Linked DNA regions of Cricetulus griseus. The protein of the gene in region 1 purifies or fractionates together with the protein of each later gene. This does not show direct contact. Links are inferred from orthologs where the notes say so. Each region holds a gene or a part of one and is shown in the gene's direction. Other genes may lie near its edges.

Evidence for each region.
Region 2: the proteins of Asb2 (region 1) and Rnf7 purify together in Homo sapiens (affinity purification with western blotting; 3 studies listed by BioGRID and IntAct, with this or other methods). This does not show direct contact. The link is inferred for Cricetulus griseus from reciprocal best matches to the Homo sapiens genes ASB2 and RNF7.

Annotation. Positions count from the first base shown.
Region 1 is NC_048598.1:102,748,758-102,763,546, forward strand, and holds part of Asb2 (ankyrin repeat and SOCS box protein 2), read left to right. Parts: intron 1-1,167; coding exon 1,168-1,334; intron 1,335-2,054; coding exon 2,055-2,210; intron 2,211-3,779; coding exon 3,780-4,025; intron 4,026-6,801; coding exon 6,802-6,973; intron 6,974-13,271; coding exon 13,272-13,833; intron 13,834-14,788; coding exon 14,789-14,789. UniProt on the Homo sapiens protein: Substrate-recognition component of a SCF-like ECS (Elongin-Cullin-SOCS-box protein) E3 ubiquitin-protein ligase complex which mediates the ubiquitination and subsequent proteasomal degradation of target proteins.
Region 2 is NC_048597.1:205,061,865-205,077,217, reverse strand, and holds Rnf7 (RING-box protein 2), read left to right. Parts: upstream 1-3,732; 5' UTR 3,733-3,826; coding exon 3,827-4,001; intron 4,002-7,145; coding exon 7,146-7,193; intron 7,194-9,796; coding exon 9,797-9,915; 3' UTR 9,916-10,296; downstream 10,297-15,353. UniProt on the Homo sapiens protein: Catalytic component of multiple cullin-5-RING E3 ubiquitin-protein ligase complexes (ECS complexes), which mediate the ubiquitination and subsequent proteasomal degradation of target proteins.

The DNA of each region.
Region 1 (14,789 bases):
CGGGCAACCTCTCCCTCTTCAGGGTGGGGACTTTGTCTGAACCTGTGGGGAATCTCTCAGTGTGTGACACTGAGGGCACCAGGGTCTGTGAGCCCCAGCTGGAGAGCCCCACTCCAGCTGGAGGTTCAGAGAGATAGCATTACATAGTGGGAACCTCCCTTACCAAGGACACAGGACAAGCCAGCCCAATCCCATCCACTTCAGCAGTGGCCACATACCCCATGGGGCCCTCCCTGAGATTGATGGGGTTGATCCGGTTGCTCCTGAGTGGAACTCAAGCAGGTGGCTGTGATGGTGTTGATGGACCTCCAGGATCTAGATGGTCAGTCCCTTGTCCTTGAGTCTCTGGCTTCACCCGTATCTGCTATTAATAACCCAGAGGCTGAGTGGCAGGAGGAAGTGTCGCATGCTGGAGGAAGCAGCTGGAGAGTTTGGGTGCTGGTCCTAGAGACTCCCCCTGAGCCCATCATTGCCCTTGATCCCAGGATCCTAAATAGTCATGGTCCCTACTGACTCGGTAAGGGAAGAGATTCCGGCAAATAGACAGTCGAGTGAGGGAATGGATAAATGAACAAATTGCCTTCAACGAGCCAAACAAAGACGCTCCTTGAAATCTTTTGACATTTAGAACTTTTAAGCTGCGAAGGCTTCTAGTTTATTAATGCTTCAAGTATTGTCATTTTGCAGCAGCTGGGAGTAGGGATAATGGATTGGATGGGGAGATGGGAAGGCTGGGGTGACGGTGGAGGGAGGGACCTTGGCAGGTCCAAGCCTCTGGGAGCGCTTGCCATCATTCAGTCCTGTAGGTAGCTGTGCTTGGTACAAACCCCGGGGCCTTCTTTGGGAAAGGCTCCTAGTTACTGCAGATGCTTTCACAGTTGTTAGCCATTGTTAGCACTCTGTGCCCAAGTCCCCTTGGTAGAAATAGTCTGGGTGTGACATTAGCTTCAGCCACAGAAAGCCACAGGGCTGCAGATGACCCGCCCCAATTCCCTTGCCTCCACTGAGCCAGAGGGAGGAAGCATTGATCCCAGAACAAACTGAATACCCAAGAAGGGGGGACCCCAGAGCAGGCACTGGCTCCTGCCCTCTAGCAGGTCCTGTTTACCCTCAGCACACAGGCCACCTGGCCCTGCCTCTGCCTACAGCTGTCACTTGCTCTCACAGGGCTATGGATCCCGTACTGAAGGCCATCAAGGAAGGGGATGAAGAAGCCTTGAAGGTCATGATCCAGGATGGGAAGAATCTTGCAGAGCCCAACAAGGAGGGCTGGCTGCCGCTCCATGAGGCTGCTTACTATGGCCAGCTGGGCTGTCTGAAAGTCCTGCAGCAAGGTGAGGGCCAACTCTGTAGGGCCAGCAGGGACACAGGGCTCTCCCTTGGTGTGGGGGGCAGGCAACATATACATAGTTAAATCACTGTGTTGGGGGAGGGTGGACAAGCCCTGCCCCTGCCCCTGCCCCTGCCCTGCCCCTGCCCCTGCCTGCTGTGGTCTCTCCACAACTTTCAGACAGGAAAACCTAATTCCTAGAAACGGAACAGGGAATAGCAGAGTTCTGGGACAGCCACTGCCAACTTGTTTCAGAATGTTCCAGGGGATGATTTGGTGTGGAAAGAACCACAACTGTGCCTGTGTACTACCAAGGCTGTCCCCACCAACTGTGGGACACTGGGCCAGTTCTGCCTCATCTCCAAATCCCATCTTCCTGTTAGGACAGATTAGAATAAATGATATCAACAGGCAGGTATTGCCTTGACCATTGAATGGCTCCGACTCCCACCAGCCACACTGGGACATGCTAGCAGTGACCAAGAGGGCAAAGAAAAAAATAGAGACTCAGAGCTAGAGGCTCAACCTGGTGAGGCTTCCCAGAGGAAGTGACATTGAGTTGCATTTCTACAAGCAGGGCCATGAGGGGCAAGATGAAAGCCATCTGGGCTTGATAGATTTCAGAAGAAGCGGTTCCACCCTTGCTCAGAACTGTGAGGAAGCCAGAACATGTGTGGGTAGTGTGGCTGCCTTCCTTCTTCACAGATTTCCCGCTCTTCCCTAGCCTACCCAGGGACCATTGACCAGCGCACACTACAGGAGGAGACAGCACTATATCTGGCCACATGCAGGGAACACCTGGACTGCCTCCTGTCGCTGCTCCAGGCAGGGGCAGAGCCTGACATCTCTAACAAATCCAGGGAGACTCCACTTTACAAAGGTAAGTCCCTAGGATGGGCTTCTCATGGACCAGGAAGCCTGGAAGCCAAGTGGGCAGCTTACAGACTACTCCCAGGATTATACAGTTCTGAGGGGTCCACTGTGCAGAGGGTAATGCCCTTCCAAGACGCATGGGGACATGTTAATCCAATCTTGCATTTACACATGGGATCATCCAGTATTTCTCATGTGTCCTTCCCCAGGTCAGCATGCTGAGGGACACTGAAGCCTTGGGATGAAAAGATATGACATATGTCTGTGGGCTACACCAAGCATGAGCACTTACTCAGACCACCGGCATGTAGATCTTGGCAGGAGGAGGGATGGGATTGTGTGGAGGGGGTACCTCTTAGAGGGATGCCTGAGTTGAGTCTCACCAGGAAGGGGTTAACCAGCTGGCCAAACTTTGGGGACAGCATGGGCAAAGGCCAGAAGGCAGGAGAGACAGTGCACACCTCTGCTATGTTTATGTAAGCAAAAAAGTCACCTGACTGACTTGGGACTACCTCAAAGTTATGCCCTGACTGCACTAGCCAGGCTCAGTGTCAGTAGATGGATGATCCATCACAATAGCTGGCTCCTTTGAGGGCTGTGTGCCAGGCGAGGCACTTTCCTTAAGCCCCATATTCATCTCTACACTCGGTAAGCGTTGCTAGTGCCTCCATTTTATACATAAGGACCAAGGCAAATCTCCTGTAGGTTAGGCATTCAGCACACATAGTATTCTGTAGGAAATGAGGGCCCGAGAGAGCAGGCGTCTGAAACTGACATGGGAGTGTCTTCTATGGGACCCTTAGTGGTTACCTGGGACTTCAGCTGTCCCAAAGAGAACTGTAGGATAGGAAGCCAGCTAAATACTAGCCAGTAGCTTGGCCCTATCATGTGCCAAAGCCCCAGGCTGTGTCCTGTGTGTGGCCTCCTGTGATTCCCTCCCCCCCCCACCTCCTCCAGGAAGGCTCTGCCATGTGGTTTCCAGGGAGAGCACCAGGGCTTATGATGTGGAGAGCCGAGACCCGTTGAAACTCAATAGGCAGCTGCTCCCCTGTGTCCGGCCTCCTCCCCAGGGAGGTTTGTAGAGCTGTTAATTGGCTCATATGCCTTGGTGACTCTAATGCCTTCTATGGCTCCCAGGTGAGAACTAGGGGCCAGAGCCAAGGTCACATTTAAGATCTTTTGACAGAGGAAGCAGAATGGGAGCTTTGAGGAGGATGAGAAAGATGAGTTATACTCAGAAGATAATGCTAACCCAAGTTGAATGTGCATTTTTGCTGTATAGATTCTTTCAGCCCTAGTGTCTGACATAACATTGAAAAGGATAATTAATTATGAACCCTTTAGAATATTCTAGGGGGCAGAGTCTCTGGATGTGGCTCTCTAGGTTGGAATCCCAGTTCTGACTTTTACTCCCTGTGTGACCCTGAGTAAGTCACTTACCCTCTCTGTTTCACCTTCCTCATTTACGGATGTAGGTATTGACATTGCATTCTTCAAGGGTAGTTGGGAGGAGTTAAACCAGTAAACTGCCAAATCTTCAGGGCCACCCTGACTATCTGTCTTCTGCCTGGTCCAGCCTGTGAGCGTAAGAACGCAGAGGCGGTGAGGATATTGGTGCGATACAACGCAGACACCAACCACCGCTGCAATCGGGGCTGGACTGCACTGCATGAGTCTGTCTCCCGAAATGACCTGGAGGTCATGGAGATCCTGGTGAGCGGCGGGGCCAAGGTGGAGGCCAAGAATGTCTACAGCATCACCCCCTTGTTTGTGGCTGCCCAGAGCGGGCAGCTGGAGGCCCTGAGGTTCCTGGCCAAGCATGGTGAGTTATCACAGGGTACCCTGGCAAGGACCTCAGAGGTCAGCTGGGAAGGAAAACTGTGTGTCATCTTGTGGGCATCCTCTGATCCAGGGCCTTGCAGGGCTTTTCAGAGGATCCTGAGGCTGTGTTTAGGCTCAGTGGAGCTGCTGTGAGGAGATGCTGGTGTGCTCGCCGTTACACACAAGCCTTGTACCATCTCTGGTCCAGAGCAACATCCTCCTTTCGCAAAAGAGGAATCTGAGGCCTGGAAAGAGGAAGTGACTTATCTACAGAATTAGCTGAAGGACTATCTAGATTCTTGGGCTCTTGATGCCCCAACCACGGTTCTTTCTGCTACGTCACACTGTTGGGCCGGAAGACCTCAGATGTAGATCACATCCTTGTTTTGCAGGTGATTCAAACAAAGGACCAGGGTGAGAAAGTGATTTGTCCAAGATCACACAGTAAGTTCGTGATAGACATGGGGTCTGAACCCAGGTCTCTGCCCTAATTTCCCATGAAAAGAAATCTTAACTGGAGAAACTAAAACAGTACCGTTTGTGCCATGGTGTCCCAGTAGCAAAGACGGAAAGACCACACCTAAAAAAGCTTTGTATTTTGACAACTCCCCGAACTCCCCTTGGATTTCTTTTCATTCTCAATGGAAGGAAGATTCCCTTTGAACACTGGGGAGGTTGAGGCTATGCAGACCTTGGAGCTGTGCCACAAGAAATGGTTGAGCACCTTCTGTGTGTCAGACCTCCTGCTAAGCATGGACCTGTGATGGGTAGAGTGTGAGCTGGGCATCGTCCTAGCTCCTCTATAAACACGAGGAGACTGAGGCTCGAGAGGCTAAGTGACAGCTCATAATGAGAGCCTGGAGTCCAGCTTGTGTTTGCACATGGCCAGCGTCTCAGCCTAGAAGAATGACCCTGGGCCTTCGTTGGGACAAGAGGCCACATCCATAGTGTGTCGGGACAGACTGAGGCTCTTAGCCAGGCATAAATCTGCAATGAACACTCTGAGAACACAGAGGCCAAGGTGGAGTCCTGGAGCCCAGGCCAGCAGGCCATGCTGAGGGCAAGAGCACAGTGGGTGAGGGGGACTCCCCTTTCTAGGCAGCTGTTCTGTCCCCTGCCGACACTGAGGCAGAGACTGCTCCCTTCATGGGGGGGCTAAAGCCAGTTCCTACACAAATATTTTCCCTGTTTGATCAGGCTGCTTTGCTGACAAGCCTAGGCCTGCTGGAGAGCCTGACTCCAAGCTTGTTGAAGGTACCCCTACTCTCCCTCTGAGGGAAGGGCAGGACCAGGCTCTGTCCTGAGCTCTGCCCAGACAGCTGGCATAGGCTGTGCAGCTTCTAAGCCTGGTACTGTGCTGATGTTATCTTCTTTACACCTTTTAGTAACCATGAGAGGGCAAGACCATGATCCTGGTCAACATACAGGTAAACTGAGGTTTCTAAAAGCTACCTAGGGCCCCAGAGCTTGGGAGTCATGAAACAAAACTTGAATGGTCCCAATGGGCCATCAAGGCTTGTGCCCTTCTCTCAGGGCCAGAGTGAGCTTCACTGCTGTTGAAAATGAAGTTATCAGAAAGGTGAGGCAAGCAGATGGCTCTGTGAGGGGAGTTGTGGTTGACACAAGCCTTTGATCTCAGCCTTCACAAAACACGTCAGCTCATATGCTTCTGTAGCAAAAGCCTAGTTTCCTTTGCATAGAAATCATGTGCACACTGGTTCTCTTTCTCACCCCCATGAGATGCAGAAGATGTAGAAGACTGAGATGGAGACAGGCTGCCACCAGGCTTTAGTCCCCTTCCTGCCAGCATGGTTCAGTGATTCCTTGCTTTTTTAAATTTATTTTTACTGTTTTTTAGTGTGTGTGTGTGTGTGTGTGTGTGTGTGTGTGTGTGTGTGTGTGTGTGTAATTACCTGCAGAGACAAGAAGAGGGTACTGTTTCCACTGGAGCTGGAGTTACAGTTGGTTGTGGCTACTATAGGAACCCAGTGTCCCCTTTAAGTGCATGATCTTCACCACTGAGCCATCTCTCCAGTTCCTCAGTGATGCTTACAAGCAGAAATGAAGCCATGTCTCTATTGTTTCTGATGGAGAACAAAACAAATCCAGGGCTCGGGATGAGGCTCCACTGGTAGAGTGCTTGCCCAGCGTGCACAAAGTCCATGGCCCATCTCCAGCATCGCAAACAACAGTGTGGTGGTGTGTGCCTGCAATCCTATCATTCTAGAGTTGGAGGCAGGATGATCAAAAGTTCAAGGTCATCCTTGGCTACATTTGGAATTCAAGGCCAGCCTGGGCTACATGAGATGATGCCTCAGACCAATCAACTGTGCCAAAATATCCATCAAATGCAAATTCAGCTAACAAAGCCAGTGGGGTTTTCCTTTGGGAGCTTTGTGCTTAGCTGGAGCTGAGGCCACCATGAGGGTACAGCCTAGGGCCCTCCACGGTAAGGGCTGAAAGCCTGGTCTCCATCCTGCGGCCATGTGAGTTCAGGTTTGGCTTTACATCCATGAGTGGATGTGTCCTAGTCTCTGATGAAAAGCCTGCCCTAAGGTAAGCTTTGACCTCCCAGGGTTCTATGTGAATTCAGAGAAATAGTGTAAGAGCGTGGCTGCGTGATAAAGAACTTACTGTAGCTTTGACCTCCCAGGGTTCCTTGTAGATTTAGATAGTATAGGCATGGCACAGCACACAGCAGTTGTTAGGTAAGAGGTGCTCACCACATGATGGCACTGAATCACTGGTCACTCGCAGCTCTGCTTCTCTCTCTCTAGGAGCAGACATCAACACGCAAGCCAGTGACAGTGCATCAGCCCTCTATGAGGCCTGCAAGAATGAGCATGAAGACGTGGTGGAGTTTCTTCTCTCACAGGGAGCTGATGCCAACAAAGCCAACAAGGACGGCCTGCTCCCACTGCATGTCGCCTCCAAGAAGGGCAACTACAGGTCAGTCCAGGCAAGGCCATCATCTTGCACAGCACAGTTCTCCAGGGATGTCCAATGAAGGCAGAGTGGGGCAGGACACCTGCTTCAGTCTGTCCTCAAGGACAGGAAGGCCAGAGGCTGGCAGGGTGAAGGATACTTTCCTTGTGGAAGGTTTCAATGACCACATGTGACAACCACCATGCTAACAAGAGTACATGATTGCATGTGTGGTCCTTCCACTGCTTTCCATAGCCAACTCATTTAATCCTCTCAAGGGCTTGCTGAGGAGGAGGCCGTGGTGACCTCTTTTTTTTAGATGAGAAGCCCTTTAAGATAAATAGAGGTTGAGTCATTGGTCTACACAGCTTGTAGGTGACAGGAATTCACCTGCTTCAAATGACCCAGCTAATCCTACTTAGGGAGCAGAGAGGAGTCTGAACTCATGACTTTTGTTGTTGTTGCTGGGGTGGGAGGGTGCAGAGATAGCCTGCAGGGCATCCTAGCAAGCAGCCAAGGATGCCTACAGCAATGCAGAGGGACCAGTCACTGGGTACTTCCCTGTACTTCATGTTCAGGTGGGAGAAGCTCAACCTCTCTGGAAGCAATTTGCAGGAGGGAAGGTGTGCATTCTCTCTCTCTCTCTCTCTCTCTCTCTCTCTCTCTCTCTCTCTCTCTCTCCCTCTCCCTCTCCCTCTCCCTCTCCCTCTCTCTCTCCCTCTCCCATGCATGTGTACCTACTCTCTATGTCTGTCTGTCTCTCTCCTTCTCCCCCTCCCTCTTTCCCTCTCCTCCCTCCCATCCCCCCCTCTCTCTCTCTCTCTCTCACACACACACACACACACACACACACACACACACACACACACACACACACACACACACGATGAAAGAGCATACAGTCCTAAGTTCCATGGTGGCCCCAGTAGAAAAGCACTGTTAAGTACCAGAGCAGAATGCACTGGAGCCAGCCTGTATCAGCCCATGCAAGCAAGCCCATTGCAGGCGTTGTCCCAGCAATGTTCACTCCATGGAGTAAGCTTCTCTCTGGAATCCCCAACATCCCACTCATCCAAGAGACAATTACTTAGAATTTTCCACTCACACATGGGTGGGGAAGGATGCTTGGCAGGTGGGATGCTGGCTGTTCCTGAGGACAGACACTTTGGTCATTTCTAAAGTGTGGCCTCATTGCCAAGCTATGGGATTCAGGTCCACAATGATGGCTCCTTTTACAGTACAAGAAACTGACACCCAGTAGCTAAAGAACCTTGTGCCTCAGTGGGCCAGCACCCAGGCCTAAGACTTAAGCCTCGGAAGTCAGATACTTTTCTATTGGCTGGGTGGTTCCCAACTGTGGACCCTGGTAAGCTTCTTTCCATTTTAGACAATTTTCATTACTTTTTCAAGATAGGATTTGTTTTGTTTTGTTTTTTTTTGAGACAGGGTTTCTCAGTAGCAGTGTGGGAGCCTGTTCTGGAACTTGCTCTGTAGACCAGGCTGGCCTCAAACTCACAGAGATCCTCTTTCTCCACCTCCCAAGTGCTGGGATTAAAGGTGTGTGCCACCACTGCCTGGCTCAAAGATGGTTTTTAAAGTACATCTTTTTTCCTAAAGTTGTTTTCAAATGAAACATTCACCACAGTGGTATAGTGGGAAGATGATTTACGGTTACTAGAAAACCCATGCCCTGTGCCTGGGTTGCCAATCTGGGAAACGCTCTAACTGCTCAGGCTGGCAGAAGAAAGCGAACAGATTATGTTTGGCATTGTCAGTAAGGTGGGGGTGTATATAGGGAAAGAGGAACGTCCACAGAAAACAAAGTAAAGGCCCAAGGAGCCTATACTGTCCCTCAGAGCCCCAGGTTTCCCTGTAAACTATCTTCATACGCAACCAGTTTCCCCGGGGGCTGCCCAGTGAAGGGTTAAAGTTGGATCTCCGGCAACCTCTGCCACCTGACTGGGCCAGGGCTCTTTGCTCACACCCTGGGCATGTGGCAATAGAAGCCCTCCCCATGCTGGCCTCCCACGGGCTAAGCAGGGATTTGATGTGACATTCCATAGGCATTCAGCCACCTGCCAAAACACTGCCTAACCAGGGCCTGGAGCTCAACGCCTGGAGCCTGAGGCCATTTGCCAGATGTGCCAATTCCACAGAACATGGGGTAAGAGTGCTTGGGCATGGCTTAGTCACCGAGGGGCACATTTTCTGTCTTCTATTCCCAGTGTGGTGCAGGGACCTTATGAACGAAAGACCAGAAGAATGGGGTAGACTTCCAAAGACCCCGGGAGCTGGACAAGAATGTGACCAAGGGCCCGGAAAGCAGGGGTTCCTGACCTCGGCTCTGCAGCCCTGATCCAGGCCCCACCTTAGCCCAGTTTATGGCACTGGGATGGCCTGGAGTAGATTGCCTGAGTTTCTACATGGTGACTGAGTGAGTTCCAGGAGCTTAGCACCTCTCCTGTGGCCAAGAGAAAACACGGGGTTGTATTTTGGAGTTCATGTCTGACCCACCATCATTAAATACCATTCTCTATACACGTGTATGATATGTGTGTGAAACACACGTCAGAGCTGACCGCGTGGTTCAGTGTGCTGGTAGCAGTGGTGGTTAGTTCCTGTGTGACAGGGTGAATGCTGACAAGGGTCAGGCCACCATGACCTTTTGACTAAGGGCTCCTCTGGCTTGGAGCAGTAGGCTAGGGCTGTGTCACTGTGCTCGGGACGCTGACTTCCAACTGCATTCTAACTTCGTACTGTGTGCTGATCAGACTAAGGCATGAGGTGTTATCTTAGCCTCCAAAGCAGGCTTGGCAAACAAGATGGTAGGTTGTGCTTTGAAATGTGGGTGCAAATCCCACCTTTCTGGGGTGTATGAAGAATAAAGGAGACAAAAGCACTAAGGTTGTGGGGTCATTTCTGATTTAAAGGAGTGACTATCAAGAGTGCTTTAAAGGGCGCCTGGCACACAGTGAACGCTTGGTGGCATAGTCATTGAGACTTTGAGGGTGAAGTGTTCCTAGCATCAGGGCCTCAGTGAGGGCTAGCTGTAGGTGTCGTTGTCATTGTCATTCAGTGTAATCTGTTGTAGGTGTGGTTTAGAGAGCTTAGTGGCATGCCTGAGATGGCCCAGCGTGGACCTGGTCACCAGGTCCATCTGGTTCTGAGCCCTGATACTCCCTTGTTGCCTATGCTGTCCCCTACACTCCACCCGACAAAGAGAGCTAACTGGAATTGAATACCTACTCACTGCTCCTGGGCGGGGTTAAGGCAAGCCATCAGCACTCACGGTGAGACTATATATGTATTATATATGTATTACATATATAACGACTATATACATTATATATTATATAACATATATATAATGTAATAAATAATACATGCTTTAGTAGTTTTCATCTTCACTAGTACCCCAGCTCTAGGGCAAGCAGAATGGGGGTTTCAATACTGAGAGGACCTGGACTGGGGTCCCAAGTCAGAGGCTGCCAAGTAGCCAGATGCTGCCCAGGGCCTCCCAGAAACAGCCCTGGGCTGGGTCTGTTTGGCTTTCTGGGATAAGTCAGGGAATCCCAACCTATTTTGGCATCACCTGCTTACTTCCTGCCCTCCATCCCACAAAATGACCTGGGGGAAAAGAGTCCTCTGCATAATGGGTTGTCCACATGGGCACTCTCCGTGGTTAGAAGTAGGAGACCAAAACCAGGCATGGTGGCATACTCCTGTGATGTCAGCACTTGGTAGGTAGAGGCAGGAGGATCAGAAATTCGAAGTCATTTGTGCCTGTGTATGAGTTTGGGGCCAGCCTGAGCCATAGAGACCTAATTACTTAATTAATAACTTACAAAGAGGCAGGCACCACAGAAAGTCCTGGCCCTGGGTATTCAGCGCCCCCACACTGCCCTGGCTTGCTGCCTGTCTTTATTCAGACACATTTGCTTCTCAACTCCAGTCCGGGGTCTCCATTTCCACCCTCTATAAAATGGCAGCACTGTCCTTTTCTCCTTCGGAGCTGGCCAGCACAGCACACCAACCCTTGACGCCTCAGTCCTAGAGAAGTAACCAGTGACCTGATGACTCACTGAGTTGCTGACTCGATGCTTCTGGGACTCGGGGCAGGGATTGTTGAGTTCCCACATTTCTGCCCCTTTCCTGGCCTGGGCAGGGAATCCTGGGAGACCAGCTGGGGCCTGCAGAGATCCCAGCCCATGGGCCAGCAGCCCAGCCCACCCCTGTCCCTGTTCTTTCCCGTGCTTGGGCGCGTCACGGCTGTTACCCTGCATTTGTTGGTCATGGCGGTGGTCCAGGGGCCCCAGCCCTGCCTTTGACCAGCACCTCTGAAGAGGAGGTCAAGCCCCTGGAGCCTGCACAAATAGAAATTAGGAGGCAATTAGCTCCCCTGAGTGTGTGAATCTCCTTCTGAGGTCTTAGAGGCAGATCTTAGCCAAAGGCAGCATCACCTATGACAACAAAGCTGTCCTTGGAGAACCCAGCAGGAGGTCGCTGGCATCTCAGTTCCAGGAAGCCAGAGGCAAGGACAGTGCCAGGAGGCAAGAGGCATGAGAACTGGCCTGGTGGCACCTGCTTTCCCCTCCCCATTCCCCAACATGGCCACCTCCTTAGAGCTCTACAGGGAGGCTGTGAGGTCACCTGTCAGCAGGGCTTCGATGAATCAGGGATTGAAATCAACAGTGTAAAGACTTGTTCTAGAAGGTGGCGGGGATCCAAGGGATGAGAGCCAAGATGAGGGGTCCTGGGGTCAAGAGCTGAGATGAGAGGTCCTGGGGTCGAACCCCTAGAGCTGTTTATTCTATGACCTCTGGTTTGTCGTTGGTTTTCTGAGCCACGTCTGTTAAAAAGATAGACACAGCTTGTTCTGGATACCCCATAGGGCTACGGTGAGGATAAAATGGGCCAGGCAAGTTAACACACTGTGAAAATTGCAAAACCCCATGACCTATCAGCTGTCACCCTGATTGCTCCACCAGAAGTAGGAGAGTAGTTAAGAGCGTAGTCTAAAGGATCAGACAATCTGAATTCAAATCTTGGCGGCCTCACTTCCTGGCTGTGTGTCCTTGGGGATTCTCTACCTTCCCTGGGCTTCCTCCTCTGTAAACTGAAGACTCTTAGGAATACAATCTCAAGTGTCCCCCCAGGAGAACTACGAAGTTTAATAGGTAGAGAGTTGAGATCAGTGCCCAAGCCGGCAGTCAGGAGCCAGGGCAGTGGGACCTCCAGCCTTGGCAGTGGCTGGCTAAGCTCTCCCTGTCCAACATGGGACTGTTGTTACAGTCTGGAGCTGGAGTTTCAAACTTCTGTGGGCTGTCCTGTGGGAGCTGGGACGGTTCTGGAGCTGGGTCCTCTGGAAGATTACCCAGAGCTCTTAACCTCTGAGCTGTCATCTCTCCATCCACAAGCATCCTTTTATTTAAGGGGCTGGAGGAGCTGGTGTTACACATTCAGGAGGAAAGCCGAATAATGCAGCAGAAGAGAACGAATCACTTGGGCACAGTAGATCAACCAGTCTGGGGCAAGAGTGGTTGAGACATTTCTACCTTTCTGGCTCCTTCCCTCCCCTCACCATGTCTAGAAGTTCCACCAGATGCCAGTGTAGCAGGAGAGGGAGCAAAGATAATTCAGCCCCAGAGTGTCCCTCCCAGTAAGTCCCTTAACCGTTTGAAGCCTCGATTGTTCTCTTCTGCAGAGTGGGGGCAACAAGACATGCTTTATGGGCTCTTGTAACGATAAAACAGGGCAAGGTCTGGCACCAGATTTCAGCATCCAGCTCTATGTACTATTCCTGCAGAGTGGTGTGGACTTTCAATGGGTGTGAAGGGCTTCCTGCCACTTTCTTCAGATTACGGAGAGCCACCATCTTTATCATTAAGGATCAATGTTTTGTCTGCATATATGTCTATGCACCATGTGTACGATTGGTGCCCGTGGTCACCAGAAGAGGATTTCATGTCCTCTGGAGCTGGAGTTACAAACTGCTGTGGGCTGTCCTGTGGGAGCTGGGACGGTTCTGGAACTGGGTCCTCTGGAAGTTTACCCAGAGCTCTTAACCTCTGAGCCGTCATCTCTCCATCCACAAGCATCCTTTTATTTAAGCTCGAATGAGTCCATGAGAGATGCTTGAAACCACAGCCCATCTGGCTGAGTTTTTTTTTTTTTTTTTTTTTTTTTTTTTTTTCTTTTTTTCTGGCTATGGGACTAGGTGGGGAAAGGCCAGCTGAGCATGGCTGGCCCCTTGGCGCCCCCCGCTGGCCGGGCCATGCACATGCGTGCCGTCTCCTGACCCGCACGTGCCTGCCTTCCACAGGATTGTGCAGATGCTGCTGCCGGTGACCAGCCGCACGCGCGTGCGCCGCAGTGGCATCAGCCCCCTGCATCTGGCAGCCGAGCGCAACCACGACGGGGTGCTGGAGGCGCTGCTGGCCGCGCGATTCGACGTGAACGCGCCTCTGGCGCCCGAACGCTCGCGCCTCTACGAGGACCGCCGGAGTTCCGCGCTCTACTTCGCCGTGGTCAACAACAACGTGTACGCCACCGAGCTGTTGCTGCTGGCGGGCGCCGACCCCAACAGCGACGTCATCAGCCCCCTGCTCGTGGCCATCCGCCACGGTTGCCTGCGCACCATGCAGCTGCTGTTGGACCACGGCGCCAACATCGATGCCTACATCGCCACGCACCCCACCGCCTTCCCCGCTACCATCATGTTTGCCATGAAGTGCCTGTCGTTGCTCAAGTTCCTCATGGACCTCGGCTGTGATGGCGAGCCCTGCTTCTCTTGCCTGTATGGCAATGGGCCGCACCCGCCCGCTCCGAGGCCCGGCCGCTTCCACGACGCTCCTGTGGACGACAAGGCACCCAGCGTGGTGCAGGTGCATGGAGGGAGGGGACAGGCGGGTGTCAGAGAAGGCAGGGTGGGCCGATAACCGTGCTCCCGAAGCAGGTTGGTTGGACTAGTGGTTATGGCAGGTGGAGAATGACCCCTGCTTGCAGTAGGGTAAAGGGATTGGATGCGAAACTCCAGGGTCAGTCACCCGTGGAAAACATTCAGCGGACAGGAAGGGGACAATGGAGCAGGCTGGTGTAAAATTCCGGGGAGGCTCTAAGACTCAGGACCGCCAGGCAGGTGACGGGTTGGCCTGTCTGTAACCCCGATGCAAGAGTAATGAGAGAGTCAGGTTTATCTCCGGCTACAGAGTAACTTAAAGGTCATCTTTAACGACTCGGTGAGAGTCTATCTCAAAATAAAGCAAAAGAGAGCCCGGAGAGATGGCTCAGCAGTTAAGAGCGTGTAAGGCTCTTGCAGAGGACTGCAGTTGGGATTTCAGTACATACCATGGGTGACTCACAACTACCTGTAACTCCAGTTCAAGGGGCTCTCCTGCCCTAGCCTGTGGGGACACTCATGCTCACATACATTCACACACATATGCAGAAGATAACTAAATGTAAAATAACTCTTAAAAAGTAAAATAGAGTATAAGAAAGAGCATTGAATGATGAAGTAGTTCACCCTCTGTCGAATAATAAAATAATAATAATAATAATAAATATAAGAGCATGTGAAATATACAGTTTATGTTCTTAGAAAAAAAACAACTCCTTGGAGTGAATGTCATGTGCACAATTTATAGGCAAGGAAATGGAAGCTCCGAGAACTGAGGGGACCAGCCCCACTCATCCATCTTGCATGTTAGGTGACAGATGCCAGTGCTAACAGGGGCCACACTGGAGGGGGATTCATAGAAGGAAACCTGGTCAGATCTTAGACACCCTCCCGGCCACCTGTCTGACATCCCCTCTAAGAGTGGTGTGCTCCTTTTTCAGT
Region 2 (15,353 bases), on another chromosome or scaffold:
ACAAACAATAAAAAATTGTTTTAATTAATTAATTTTAAGACAGGCACTCACTATATAGTCCTAGCTGGCCTGGAACTCACTATGTAGAGCAGGCTGACCTCAAGCTCACAGAGGTCGTCTGCCTCTGCCCCCACAAGTTCTAGAGTTAAAGGTTGGATCCACCATGCCCAGCCTTTATTATTTTCTTAACTCATGATTTCCTATCCATTATTTCACAGGTAAAAAATTGAATGCAGATGCCATTTTTCCAAATGGATGTCACCTATCTCCATGGTCAGACAGACTATCTAGAAAGACACTGCTCAGTGTGCTCAAACATTTTTTGTTGCCATCAATCCCCTTTTCAGGTTCTAAAATTCATTAAGGCCACTTAGCAATGCCTATCCTGTCACATAAATCAGCTTCTTTTCTCTTTTTAGTTTTACGAGTCAGGGTTTCTCTGTGTAGCCCTGGCTGTCCTGGAACTAGCTCTATAGACCAGGCTGGCCTCGAATTCACAACAATCCACCTGCCTCTGCCTCCTGAGTGCTGGGATTAAAGGCGAGCACCATCACCACTGCCTGGCATAAATCAGTTTCTAAATTATGGGTTTCATTCTGTCCCTGATGCCACTAAATCACCAAGGTTTCACTGGTAGCATCATGACTAAGGAGGTCATTGCTGCTGGATACCCCCTTATCTGAAATGGCCTAAGACGAGGAAAAAGCTACCATGCCCAACTTTCTCAGTAATATCCAACTGTGATGAGCCTATCCATGTCAAGATGGTGGGGTCCCCTTGTGCTGGGCACCAACTTGATTGAGGGCTGATAACATCAAGAAGTGGAGGAATGAGCATCTGCAAAACTGATGAATGGGAAAATGCAAAAGTGGTTGGTTGTGAAAGTGTAGTAGGCTAAGGACTGTTGAAACAGACCTAAAATCATAGGCCCTAAAGCTTTTCAAACCTAGTGTGGTGGTATAGGCCTGTAATCCCAACACTGGAGAGGCAGGAGGATTGTTGCAAGTCCAAAGCAAGCCTCACCTATAGTGAGTCCAGGCCAAGCAGGGCTACACACCAAGACCCTTTCTGAACCGCAAGTCCCCATAGGAAAAAAAACAGAATTAAAATTGGCCCAGGGCATGGGTGATGGAATTGCCTGGTGCCAGTGGAGGAGGCTCCAGCACAGGAAGCTTCACAGGACTCATTGAGTCACCGTTCTTCACATTTCCTGACCTCTGCTTCATCAAGTTCAGAACTATAGCACTGCTACAGAATGGACAGAGAAAAAAAACAGGAGTTGTTCTCGCCCCGTTTGGCCAAACTGTAAATAAACCCATTTTCCTCCACCAGTTTCTGTTTCAAATTTTCTTTGGAAAATGAGGTAATAGATTTATGGGGTTCCATTTATCTTAAATTTCCTATAGCACCCTGTGGTGGTTAGTTTTTTGTCAATTTGACACAAGGGTCATCTTGGAGGAGGGAACCTCAATTGAGAAAATGCCTCCATTGATTGTAGGCAAGTCTGTGGGGGCATTTTCTTGACTAACTATTGGTATGGGAGAGCCCAGGCCACTGAGGGTGGTGGTGGATCTGGGCAGGTGGTCCTAACTTGAATAACTAAACCAAGGGCTCTCGCCAGTAAGCAGCATTCCTCCATGGTCCCTGCCTCAGTTGCTGCCTCCAGGTTCCTTCCCAACCTGAGTTCCCTCGGTGATGGACTGTAATCTAGATGTATGAACCAGTTCCTCCCAAAGTTGCTTTTGATCATGGTTTTCAAAGCAAACTAAGACATCCCCCCTTCACCTTTTCTTAACCTTCCTTTTCCTTATACAGCTGGTATACAAACTCTAAATCTAGACTGCCTTTTGTCTTTTCTGTGAATTCTACTTATACAAATAAAAACCCGCCTTTTCTCTTGCTAGCCTTCTTGTCTGTGTGACTCACAAGCCAACAAGAACTGAATTTAAGAGGGCTTGGAGAGTGTTTCCTCTTTAACCACAGGAAAGACTGTTTTCATAAAGATGAATGGCATGAAGGAATGAGAAAATGAGGACCAAAGAAATAAACAATGGAAACATTCACTTGTGATGGGAATAAGATTCTTCCCGAAGGGCTTAAACGTGTTTGCATTAAAGGGAAGTCTCTGAAGCAAACCCAAGCATCTTTTCAATGTTTGGAACAAAGACTCTCCTACAGAGGAGGAGAAGTGATCATAGTAATGCCATCCTGTCCTGACTGTATTCCCTTAGACAGTTCTCAGCCCTCTACCCAAACCCACTCCCACAATGGTCACATCTACCCTGCTGACACACTTGAATTTCCATGGCCTTGCCCATGGTCCAGATGTGTTAACCAAAATAATTGACATAAACTAGAATAATTGAAGAAGATCTAAGTCAAAAATAATTTTTGTGTTGTGTCTGAAGTAAACTTCTGCCAGGAATGAATGTTTCAAGGTTACTTTGTCATGTGAATTATGGTCTTTGTGATTTTTGCATTTAAAAACACTATAACCCTCCCTGAGCTTTGAGACCAAGTGACTCTAAGGCATGAGGTTAATCTTAATTGTAAGAGGGCCCCCAAGACCTTAGCACAACTGACTCCATGATGGAAGTACCATTCAGGCTACATAATGAGTCCTAGGCCAACTTGGTTTAAAAGATGAAACTGCCTCAAAGCAAGCAAATAAACGGATTTGGATTTCAGCTATCTTTTCCATAAACAAAAGCCTTTGCAGATCCCAATACCCACGGCTGGTGGTGCACACTTTTAATCTGAGCAGCAGAGGCAGATGGACCTCTGTGAATACAAAGCCAGCCTGGTTTAAACTGTGAGTTCCAGACCAGGTGGAGCTACATAGTGAGACCCTGTCTCAAAACAACAAACAAAAGCCCGGGGTGGTGGCCCACACCTTTAGTCCCAGGTTTGGGAGGCAGAGGCTGTCGGAACTCTCTGAGTTCTAGGCCAGCCTGGTCTACACAGCTAGTTCCAGGATGGCCAGGACTACACAGAGAGGCCCTGTGTGGGAAAACCAAAACAAGGCAACAATAAACAAAACCATGACGAAAAAGTTAAGGTCCTAATAAATTTGAAGTGTAAAGAAATCCAACAAATAAAGAAATAAAGAAATAAAGAAATCCAAGATGCGGGGCATAGGGGTACACACCCTTAATCCCAACACTCCGGAGGCAGAGACAAATGAGTCTGTGAGTTCAAGTCCAACCTAGTCTTCAGAGAGTTCCAGGCCAGCCAGGGTTACATAGTGAGAAAAACCTTATTAAAAATAAATAAATAAAAAAGCAGAAGGAAGATAAAGAGAAGAAAATGGAAGGAAGGAAAGAAAAAGAAAGAAATAGAAATCCAAGACTCCCATGCCCAAATTGAGACCCACTGAACCGGATTCCTGGATCTCTAAAGTCGTGACTTGTACCAAGTCACACACACCTCCTGTGGCCAGGCTTTTTGTAAGATATGGAGGTTACGGTGATGGAAGAGCCTTTTCTCCCTACTCTGATAGTTCACATTTCGGAGAGAGGAGTCTAATGAAGGCAGAAACAAGGTGATTTCCGAGAGCTCCGGGTTTGGTAAAGAAGGACGCAGGGCAAGGCTCTCTCACTGTCCTCTGCCAGCTCTGCAGTAAACGCCCGAGGCCACCACGGACGATCAGCAGGCCCCGCCCCTCCCGCGTGACGTCAGCGGGCCGCGCCAGGCCATCAGCGCCGCCTTCCTCTGGCTGCGCGGCGGGACCTGCGGGAGGCGCTGTGGCGTGCATTTGGGCCCTAGTGAGCCGCCATACCTCCCGCCTCAGCGCCCAACGTCCGCGTCGCCGTTCTGCGCCGCCGCCATGGCCGACGTGGAGGAGGGCGAGGAAACCTGCGTCTTGTCCTCACACAGCGGGACTGCGGGCTCCAAGTCGGGGGGCGACAAGATGTTCTCCCTCAAGAAGTGGAACGCGGTAGCCATGTGGAGCTGGGACGTTGAGTGCGATACCTGCGCCATTTGCAGGGTCCAGGTGATGGGTAAGCAAAGCGCTGCACGCGAGGCCGGGGCCGTGACGCGGCCTGCTGGGCGAGCTTCGCGGGCGACGGGGGGGGGGGGGGGCGAGCTGCCCGCGCTGGGTGAGTCCTGCGGGGAGGGGCGGGGGGCGTGGCCGAGGAGACAGCTGGACCGTCTCTCGGAACCCGTGGGAACCTCCGGGGTTGTGTTGGTAGCCCAGCGGCCCGCAGACCTCACAGCCGAGCCCTCTCGTGGATCTAAGCGTTCATTTAATTAATTAACTAATTAATTGATTAGTTAATGATTTTGGGGGGGAGAGACGCTCATGTTTCCCAGGCTGGCTTGGAACTTGCCCATTTAGCCGAGGTTGGCCCTGAACTCCTGGTGCCCCTGCCCGCACCTTCCAAATTCTGGAGATGACGAGCCTGCGCCACCGTGCGGATCTTGTTTCATGGCTCTGTCGCCACCGAAATGATGCGCAGCCATTTGTATGGGTTCTCTGCAGCTATTTGGCTGGCTTTTAAAATTTACATTGACCGAGTCAGATAGAGCTCGCATGTCTTGAGGCGAGGGACAAAAGAGTATTTTAGATTTATGGGAATCCAAGGATAGAAAAGCCTTTGCTTGATTCAGAAACATGAAACTTAATTATGTCCCCTTCCCACCCTTTTGTGCCCTTTCGAAGAACCTTCTTTCATTAGTAGTCCATTTTTTTGTTTGCCTGTTTTTTCGAGACAGGGATCCTCTGTATTATTTTGGAGGCTGTCCTGGAACTTGCTCTGTAGACCAGGCTGACCTTGAACTCACAGAGATCCTCCTGCCTCTGCCTCCCAAGGTGTGCACCACCAACGCCTGGCCTCATTAGTAGTCCAACATTTTAGTATTTTGAACGAAAATGTTGGACCAAATGAAACGTATCAAAAAATCGTAATCTCGTTGAGTTTTACATAGTTTAAGAGCTCAGCCCACCTTGAAAAGAACCCTGTTTCTGTCAGTTTCTCTTGGGGGGGGGGGGGCCTGGTGGTTGTTGACAGGGTTTCTCTGTGCTGACCAGGCTGGTCTCAAACTCAGATAACCGCCTGCCTCTGCGTTTCTAGTGCTGGGATCAAAGGCGTGTGCCACCATCGCAGCTCTTATTTATTTCTCTTTTAGACTCATTCAGTCTTGTATAGTCCAGGGTGGCCTTGGACTCCAGATCTTCCTGCTTCCTCCCAAGCGATGAAATTTGTAGAAATGTCTGTGGCATGATGGGGATTGAATTCCTTCAGGCTAGGCAAACTACCAACTGAGCTGCATCCCAGCTTAACATAGGTTTCCAAAGTGTCGGTTAACACCTGTAATGCTCTGGAGGCCGAAGCAGGAGAGTTTGAGACCAGCTTCCAGCAAAAACAAAAAAACAAAAAACCAGGGGCTGGAGAGATGTTTCCGAAGAGTGAAGATTGTCCATACAGATTTCCCACACCCACATGGCAGTTCACAACCCTCTGTAACTTCAGTTCCAGTTTATCCAACACTATTCTGGCTTCAGAGGGCACTAGACACATACGGTGCATAAATGTATGCAAGTAACATAAATTATGTGAGAGTTTATTAAATTGCTGTGGGCTGCAGAGATGGCTCAGTGGTTAAGAGCATTGACTGCTCTTCCAATTCCAGGGAATTGGACTTGAGTTTAATTCCCAGCACCCACATGGTGGCTCACAACCATTTGTAATGCCAGTCTTAGAGACCTGAGGCCCTTCTCTGTGGGCATTGCATAAACATGGTACACAGACACACAGGCAGGCACAACATGCATACACATAAACTATTAACTGGGAGTTGGTGGTGCGGGCCTTTAGTCCCACCACTCGGGAGGTGAGGCAGGATCTCTGCCTTCGACAATTCTAGCATTAGAGTTCAGAGACCACCAGAGCTGGAGCCAGGCACAGGTGTGTCATGTGCTTGAGCCAGTGTGAGAAGAGGGAGGGAGTAGTTTCAATCCACACTAGATGTTTATTTTTATTATTATTTTTTTTAACCTTTTGAATGCCTCTAGCCCTGGTACTAGCAACACATTGTAACAAAGCTAGTTGTGAACTCACAGGGGTCCTCCTGCCTCGGCCTCTTTCTTTCTGGATCTGGAGAAATGGCTCAGTGGTGAAGAGCACATACTGCTCTTAACATACTTAGCACCAAAGTTGTGCAACTCACAAACTGCTAGTAACTCCAGCTCCATCGGTATCCAGAACCTCAAGGGCACTTGCATGTATATACCCACATTTAGGCACACATACATAATTAAAAACAAGCCTTTTCTGTCAGTGTGAGCCTCCTTTTACCTGATTTGCACTGCTTATACATTTAAAGAATGAATCAGTTTCATTGGTCCCTAAAGTATTGTACAGATTGAATTTTAGAAACTTGTAGCATACTCTTAGGTTTCCATTTCTAGTGTTTACACTTAAGTAATTTATTTAAGTACTTTGGCATTGTGTGAATACATTGAGGATTGGGGGTTCGGGCCTTCCTAGGCTACATAGTTTGAGGCCAGCCTGAGCAACATGAAACCCAGTCTCAAAACAAAGGAAAGGAATTTTGCTTACAAAAAAAAAAAGAAAAAAGAAAAGAAAAAAAAAAAACCGGCACATGCCTGTAATCCCAAACTTTGAGTAGAGGCAGGATTTTAAGGTCATCGTCTGCAGTGTGGCAGTTCAGGTTAGGGCTAGCAGGGGCTGTGTGAGACCCTATCTCCAAAACAAAAACCTTTATTGATTCCTCAGCGGATTCTAGATCTTTATGTGTGTATGAACAAATAATGAATGAGTATAATCACAATTGTGTCTAACGGTTGGTCTGTGTGAGTGAGCAAGCTGGTGAGCTTACAATAATTTGTTATGGTATAGTTGGCATCTTTGAGTGACTTTCTCTAATGCCACTGCCAAACTATCCTGACATATGAACTTGTAAAAATCATCATTAGCCCTTGTGAAACATTGGTCATAAGTGAATTAGTAGAATGCCATGTATTTTATTTCTCTTTAAGTAGTTATTTTTAGATGAGAAACTAATAATACGAGACTCTTATCTTCATCTCTGATCCTCGGGGCTTTTGTTTGACTTTGAAGATCTGGGTTTCCAGTGTTGCCTCCTGTACCTCAGATGAGATTTGCTTTGTTTGCTTTTAGATGCCTGCCTCAGATGTCAAGCCGAAAACAAACAAGAGGACTGTGTTGGTATGTGGTAATTCTTCCTCCTGCCTTTTCAATTGGAGGTTTTCTTCCATCTCTGTGGGAATATTTGAATTTAGAATTAAAATTGACTTTATTAAACTGGCCTCGATAACCCAGGCCTGTAAACCCAGAACTGGGAAGGCTGAGGCCAGCTTTCGCTATGTAGTGAGATCTGTTTTCCAAAAAAGAAAAGAAAGAAATGGCTTTGTCAGTACATAAAAAACCATAAAGCAGTAATTAATTATTATTACACATACTCAGACATTTTAGAGGCTGGTAAGATGGCTCGAGGGTAAAGGTCCTTGACTCTTAGACCTGATGACCTAAATTTGATCTCTAGAACCCACTTAAAAATGAAGAGAGCTGACTCCACAGAGGTCCTCTGACCTCCATGGGAAGCTGTGGCATGCATGCCCTATCCTATACACTCAATTAGAAATAAAAACAAAATCAGAATTAAAACTAAAAGGGAAAGAATTCACCCATCTTTCTAATAAATGTTTTAGTTCCCAAAAAACTTAAATGAGATCAATTTACTAAGCAGAAAGAAATACATTTTCTGCTAAGAAAACCACAGGGCCAGGAGTGGTGGCACACACCTGTATTCCCAGTGGATTGCAGGAAGGTCACTGCAAGTTGGACACCAGCCTGTTCTATCTTATTGAATTCCAGGCAAGTCATGGCTGTGGAGTGAGACCCTGTCTCAAAAACAAAAAGAAAAGGAGGAAGTAGCACAGAAGGGAGGGAAAAAAGAAAGAAAGACAGATTTCAAGACTTGAGCATGTTGCCTACATCTGTAATCCCAGCACCTTGCAAGCCTGAAACAGGGCAATTACCATAGCCTACATAGTGAATTCCAGGCCAGCCTGGGCTGTATAGCAAGGCCCTATCTCAGCAAAGAACCCTGATCACAAGGGGATGCCTCTCCAGCCACTCTGCAAATCCAGCTGTCAGGTGAGGAGCTGCACTGCCTGCTGGCATGGTAACTTTTGGATTGGTTGACTGCTTTTGGGTTTTGGTTTCCATGTGTGGTCCTGACTTGACACTTGCTATATAGTCAAGTCTGGCCTTTCACTGATCCATTCCCTGTGTTGGGACTTCAGGACCACACCCAGCTGGAAGCATAATTCATCACTTCTAGAAAAACAGCTCAGTAGATGTGCCATCAATATCTGATGATGCTTCCATGCCTACTATCTGTTCATAACAGCCCCTATAAGCTGAGAGCTTATAAAATGTTGTATCTTGGTAAATAAAAACAAGGAGGATGTTATAAAGAAAGGAAAGCACAAATGATCCCTAAGTGCACCCCATGGTTGAGGAGGTCTGGGATCTACAACAGACTCAAATCCTTTAATCTCCTAACTTCAGAACACAACAAGCAGAGCTGTTTAGGAACTAGGGGTTGTGACTTCACTCCCAAAACACAGTGGTACTTTTTATTTGTTTGTTTTGATTTTTTGAGATAGGATTTCTCTGTGTAACAGCTCTGGCTGTCACAAGAGAGAGATCCATCTGCCTCTGTCTCCCAAGTGCTGGGATTAAAGGCAAATTTCACCACACCCAGCCAGTGCCATCCATCTATCCATCCGTCCGTCCATCCATCTATCTTCCCTCCCTCCTTCCTTTAATTTTCTTCTCATTCATTTGTCTTTCACATCATTCCTCCTGATCCCACCCATCTCCCCCCCATTTTTTTTTTATTTTTTATTTTTTTTTAGAAAAAAGGAGAGGGGAAAAAGGGAAATCTCCTCATGGAAGCTGCAGTGTGGTATAGTGAGTCGTGCAGTAAACTTTATAATTTTACATGCAGGGTTCATCCCAAAGAATAATTGGTCTGGTTTGAGGCCCCTGGACTCTGCTACATACCATCAATGCTGGGCTCTCATTAGGATTCTTCCTGGACATCCCATTGCTGTCCTGTGTCATGGAGATCCTCCAGCCCCGGGTCCACAGGACCGGTGTGTGTGTACACACAGACACACCCAGGTCATAGACGGGATGGGTATTAGGTAGACCAACACATAGCCCTGGTTCTGGGCTTCAGTAGTTGGCAGGGATGGTCAGCCCACCAGCTCGCCCTCGTCTTCACCACCAGGGTGAGCTCTCCTGCATTCAGTGGCATATTTCTTAAGTTCAACCTCACTCTACTTGTAAATATTTTTGTAGATAGAAAAAAAAAATGACCACTTAGCCAGTTTTTTTCAGGATTATAAGCCATGGCTATTTTATTGTTTTTTTTTTTAACTATAATTTTGAACTTAGTAATTTAATTTTTAAGAATATTTCAAAATTTTGCTTCCATTTCATACATTCATACAGTGTATGTTGATTATGTTCACCCTGCCTATCCCTCCCATGAACTCCCCCTCCATGTGTCCCCTCCCACCTGCATGTCCTCCTGAGCTTAACCATTTAAATTGAACTATGTCATGTCAGTTGATTGGGGGAGGTTGTTTAATTGATTGATTGGTTATTTTTGAGACAAGGTCTTGCTTTGTAACCACATTGACCTAGAACTGGCAGCACTTCTGCCTCAGTACTCAGATTACAGGCATGCACTGCATACCCACCTACTCAGCTGTTGTTTTTTATTCTTCTTCCAGTGGTCTGGGGAGAATGTAATCATTCCTTTCACAACTGCTGCATGTCTCTGTGGGTGAAACAGAACAATCGCTGTCCTCTCTGCCAGCAGGACTGGGTGGTCCAAAGAATTGGCAAATGAGAGGTAGTAGAAGGCTTTCCTGGTGTGGTTGTGACCCTGGATGATCTTGCTGCCAAGTGACCGGACGAAGGCTATAACACTCCAGCGGATCAGTTCTTCAGATAGAAAGGGTGCAGTCTTTTGAGACTCATCCAGGGCATGGCTTAGCATTTTGTCAGTTTAATTTTGAGAAGTTGTCTACAAGAAAGATAATTTATTAAAAATGGCCTTTCCTACCTCTGTGGTGTGTGTCATACATACTGCTTAGAAGAGCTATAAGAGAGAATGCCAAAAAAGGTCTGTGAGAGAGAGCATTGCATCTACTTTACAGAAGAGAGTTTCTGTGTTTATGTCTGATTGGTTTTGTTATAGTAACAAATAAAATGCATTTCGAAAATCCAACTTCTATCCTCTGCTCCTAATACTTTTTGTTAGGAGAGGGCAGCCCATGGTATCTTTATTTGCTGTAAGTGGCGATTTTGATTTTAGATCAGTGAAGAATATAAATAAAATGTAACTTTCAGTAAATGGGCCTTTGTCTCCTAAGTTCTCCATCTTTGACTCATCAAGGAAGCTTGGATCTGCACTTGCCTCACTTTTCAATCACTTAGGGTTTCTTGTTTGTTTTCCCTCGAGGCTGGGTTTCTCTGTGTTACAGCTCTGGCTGTCCTGAAACTTACTGTGTAGACCAGGCTGGCTTCAGACTCACAGAACTCCATCTGCCTCTGCCTCCAAAGTGCTGGGATTACAGGTGTGCACCCAGTTCAATCACTTAAAGAGGTATTTTCTGTAAGTTTGTGTTGTGTATTTTAATCAAAATATTAGTGGAAAAACACCAGCACAACACTGGCATTTATTATACAATATCTTAATAAATGAAATATTTTGTTTTGGGTTATTAAATTTTTATCTATGCCCTTAAACTTATTTGTTAAGTAAATTGAAAACATTGATACACTCTTTATTTGGCATTAAAACTTAATTACTTGGAAATACACAACACTTAAATTTTATCAAACTCATCCAATGAGACTGGTAAGATGTCTCAGTGTGCAGAGTGCTTGCTGTGCGAGCCTGAGAACAGACTTCTTCTGTTCCTAGAACTCTTGTGAAAACCTGGGTGTGGCAGCCCAGCCCTGGTACTTGGGAGGTGGACACTGGTAGGTGGATCCTTGGGGGCTTGCTAGCCAGCTAGCAGCCAAATTGATGAGCTCCTGAGTTCAGTGAGAGACCCTGTCTCAAAAAGGTAAGATGAGAACAGTGGGAGAAGATGAGTCATTAGCCTCTGGCCTGTGGACACACCGTACACACAAACATGTACACACAGAATCTCATTCAAAGGTGATTTGGGCCATTAAGGTTTTTTATTTTGAAGTGGTGGTTACAAATAGGAACTTCAAAGAGTCAGGCTGAAGAGATGGTTTAGTGGTTAAGAGAACTTGCTACTCTTGCAGAGGACCCAGATTTGGGTGCTAGCACCCATGTTGCAGCTCATAAGGAACCAGCACCCTCCCTCATCTGAGCCTCTGGGCACTATATTGCATATAAAATGTGGGGATGCACATACATGAAGGCAAGCACTCATGCTCTTAAAAAGTTTTTAAATGTGTTTAGAACAAAAATCCAGAGTTAACAGAGGGTTTCCTCAGTGGGTGACAGTTTGAGATAGGGTCTCACTAGAGCCCTGGCTGGACTGGAAGTGAATGGAGGTGGGCCTCAGACTATGACAAACCTCTGCCTGTACTAGGGTTACAAGTGTGCACCTCTATGCCTGGTTGAGTTATGGTTTCTTTTATATTGGCTCTGGTTTCTCTGAGACTTTATTTTTTTCAGCAGGCCCCTGAAAAAGAATGGGTAAAATTTTTCTAAAATTTCTAGGTATTAGAAGTCTACACATTTTTGGTCATTAGTAGCTACTAGTAGCTTTTTTGACCCTTTTTGTTCTTGTTTTTTGAGACAGTTTCTCTAGTTCTGGCTGTCCTGGAACTCACCCTGTAGACTTGAACTCACAGAGATTCGCCTGCCTGCCTTTCTCTGCCTCCTGAGTGCTGGGGTTAAAGGTGTGTGCCACCACTACCCAGCTTGACACTTTTTAAAGCTTGGAGTCATGAAGTGTGAAGAAGAGTGACTCAGGTCACTTTGACAGTTTGTAAGTAAAATCTGGAGGATGATGGTAATGACTTGGTGTTCACCCAGCAAAACTCTTAACAAAGCCCTATTTATGCTACACATCAGCATCTGAGGGTAGAGAGGAGGAGGGACTGAGACAAAGTTCAGCTCCTAGGCCCATGCTGGCCTCTTACCACTCATCTACACAGCCAGCCAAGAGTTCCCGTACATACTGTTCTACCAGAAAAAAACATGGTGAGGCATTTTAGTTGTTAGTCCAAAACCAAGCAGTATTTTCTCTCCAAATGATTAAATGATATTTAATGTCTTTAATTGCATATTAGTAGACATTTAAAACTACAAAAAAATATAAATAGTGGTTAGGTTCTTTGGCTGAAGTCATTGTAAAGTTTTGTACTGTAGGGTGGTAAATAAAGTCTGAGGTATTGGCCTGTGTATCCCATGGTACCATCTCAACATCATAAGCCTCCGAATCCCTGCACTCAACTTGTTCAGTCTCAAAAGTTCAGTTTCTAAAACTCTGGAGGCAGGACTGACTTCCTTGGAAGAATCTTGGGTGTTTGGCAGATGGGGCTGCTTGCATTTTGCTGCCACAGCCTCACAGAGACACCCTAATGGCACAGGAATGAAAGAATTTCTTTAAAAGGTAAGGTTCACTTTGTGCTGGGAATTGAATCCAAGACCTTGTACTTTCTATCTGCCCAAGTGACTGCCATCCTCCTGTTGCTCTCTGTGAAGTTCAGACAGTGAACAACTCCAGCTAATACTAAGAGCCCTGAGCTGGTAAAACTCCCTTGACAGGCTTTTAGGCCTAAATAACAAATTTAAAGTTGTCTTTATTTTTTTTATTTGAAAAAGGGGTAGAAATGCTTTGTCTTTGTTTTTCAAGACAGGGTTTCTCTGTGCAACCCTAGCTAATCAGGTCCTAGCTCTAGACCAGACTAAACTCCAGAGATCTATCTGCCTCTGCCTCCCAAGTGCTGGCATTAAAGGTGTGTGCCACCAATGCCCAGGCTTTGTCATTTTTTTTAAGTTATTTTTGAAGAAGAAATAATCCTGTGGTTCTGACATGAAAATGGCGAGTCTTCTGTGTTCAGTAAGACCATGTGTAGATAATGTTTAAGAAAATTGTGTGTGATGGCACGTACCTATAGCCACAGCAACTGGGAGGCTGACGCAGGAGGATCACAAGCATGGACTATATAGAGAGACTGTTAAACCAAGAAAAAGGTTATAGATTGGAATATAAAGAAAGTAGCACCGTGCTGGGCGTTGGTGGTACACAGCTTCAATCCCAGCACTTGGGAGGCAGATCTCTGTGAGTTTGTGGACAGCCAGAGCTACATACATAAAAACCCTGTCTTTGGGGTGGGGGAGAGAATAGAAAGCAAAATGCTTGGATTCTAAACTACTCCATGTTGATAATGTTAAAGATTTATTTATTATGTGTACAGTGTTCTGCCATCATGATGCCAGAAGAGGGCAACAGATCTCTTTATAGATGGTTGTGAGCTACCATGTGGTTGCTGGGAATTGAACTCAGGACCTCTGGAAGGGCAGCCTGTGCTCTTAACCTCTCCAGCCCCTGTACAGAACAATTTAATGGTATACCAAAATACTGAAAATGCTTAATGTTTGCATGAAGTTACTCTTAGCACTTTTTACTTGTTCCGTAGCTCAGACTAGCCCCTAAGTCTTGATCCTCCTGCCTTGAAGCCTTGAATCACACAACAGTCATACCATCCCATTCTCTCATGGGTAGGTTTTGTTCAGCAGAGTATGTCCCCCAGGGAAAAGATTCTGTTTTGGTTTTTCCAGACAGAGTTTCTCTGTGGCTTTGGAGGCTGTCCTGGAACTAGCTCTGTAGACCAGGCTGTTATCAAACTCACAGAAATCCGCCTGCCTCTGCCTCCCAAGTGCTGGGATTAAAGGCGTGGGCCGCCACCACTCAGTGATTTTTCTGTATTTTGACATTCATAATTGTTGTGGTATATTATTTTAACTATGTAAAGATGTTATATTTATTTATGCAGTGGAATATTACTTCAACTGTAAAAGTGTGTTACTTGGGCTGGAGAGATAGCTCAGAGGTTAAGAGCACCGACTGCTCTTCCATAGGTCCTGAGTTCAATTCCCAGCAACCACATGGTGGCTCACAACCATCCGTTATGAGATCTGGTGCCCTCTTCTGGTGTGCAGATATACATGGAAGCAGAATGTTGTATACATAATAAATAAATAAAATCTTTTAAAAAAAACAGACCACATTCTAGGTCATAAAGTCTTAATAAATACAAAAGAATTTAAATAATTTCAAAAAAAGTGTTACTTTTGTTTATGTTGCATTTGTTTAATTTGTAAAGATGTATCTGTTTCACCTTGCCTGCCCAAGACACCTGATTGATCTAATAAACTGAGCAGCCAATAGCTAGGCAGGAGAAAGGCTAGGCAGGGCTGGCAGGCAGAAAGAATAAATAAGAGGAGAAATCTAGTCATTAGAGAAGGAGGAGGAGAAAACGAGGGAGCCACCAGCCACAAGAAGCAGTGAAAGTAAGATATACAGAAAGAAGGTAATAAGCCCCAAGGCAAAAGGGAGACAAAGAGAAACAGATTAAGTTAAAAGAGCTAGCCAGAAATGAGCCTAAGCTAGGCCAAGCATTCAAAGCTAGTAAGTCACAATGTCATGATTTGGGAGCCAGTTGGTGGCCCAAAAAGAAAAAGCCTGGTCCACACAACAGCTGAGACTTCCCAGGGGGACTGATTTTGACTAGTTATTTCAAATCTTTATACCTCAGTTTCCGTGTGTATTGTAATCCGGCCTCATTGGATTATTGAGGATCCAGGACAGTTACTTTTCTCCTGGGTGTGATTAAATACTTGACAAAGCAGTGTAAGGAAGGAAGGGTTTGTGTAGCTCAGTCTGAGGAGATATTTCATCATGGCAGGCAGGGGAGGCAGCCTGAAGCCTGAAGCAGAGATAAATGTCACTGCCCAGGTTGCTTTCTGCTTTCTGTTCAGTTCAGCACCCTAGCACATGGAGTGATATTGTCACAGTTAGTGTGGGTCCTTCCACCTTAGTCAACCCTGTCTGGAGACTCCCTCACAGGCTCTGAGGTGATTCTAGAACCTGTCAGATTGACAGTATAAACATCACAGGGATTAAGTAGGTAAACTAAGGAGCTGTCTGGTGCTGATGAGGGCTGCCGATCCTTGGCATCTGTGAGAGCTTTAGTAGAAGTGTGTTCTGTGACAGGCAAAGCCCTAAGTAAATAAATAAATAAATAAAGGCAAAAGGCAGAGGAGGAAGTAAACAGTGTGGATGCAACAAG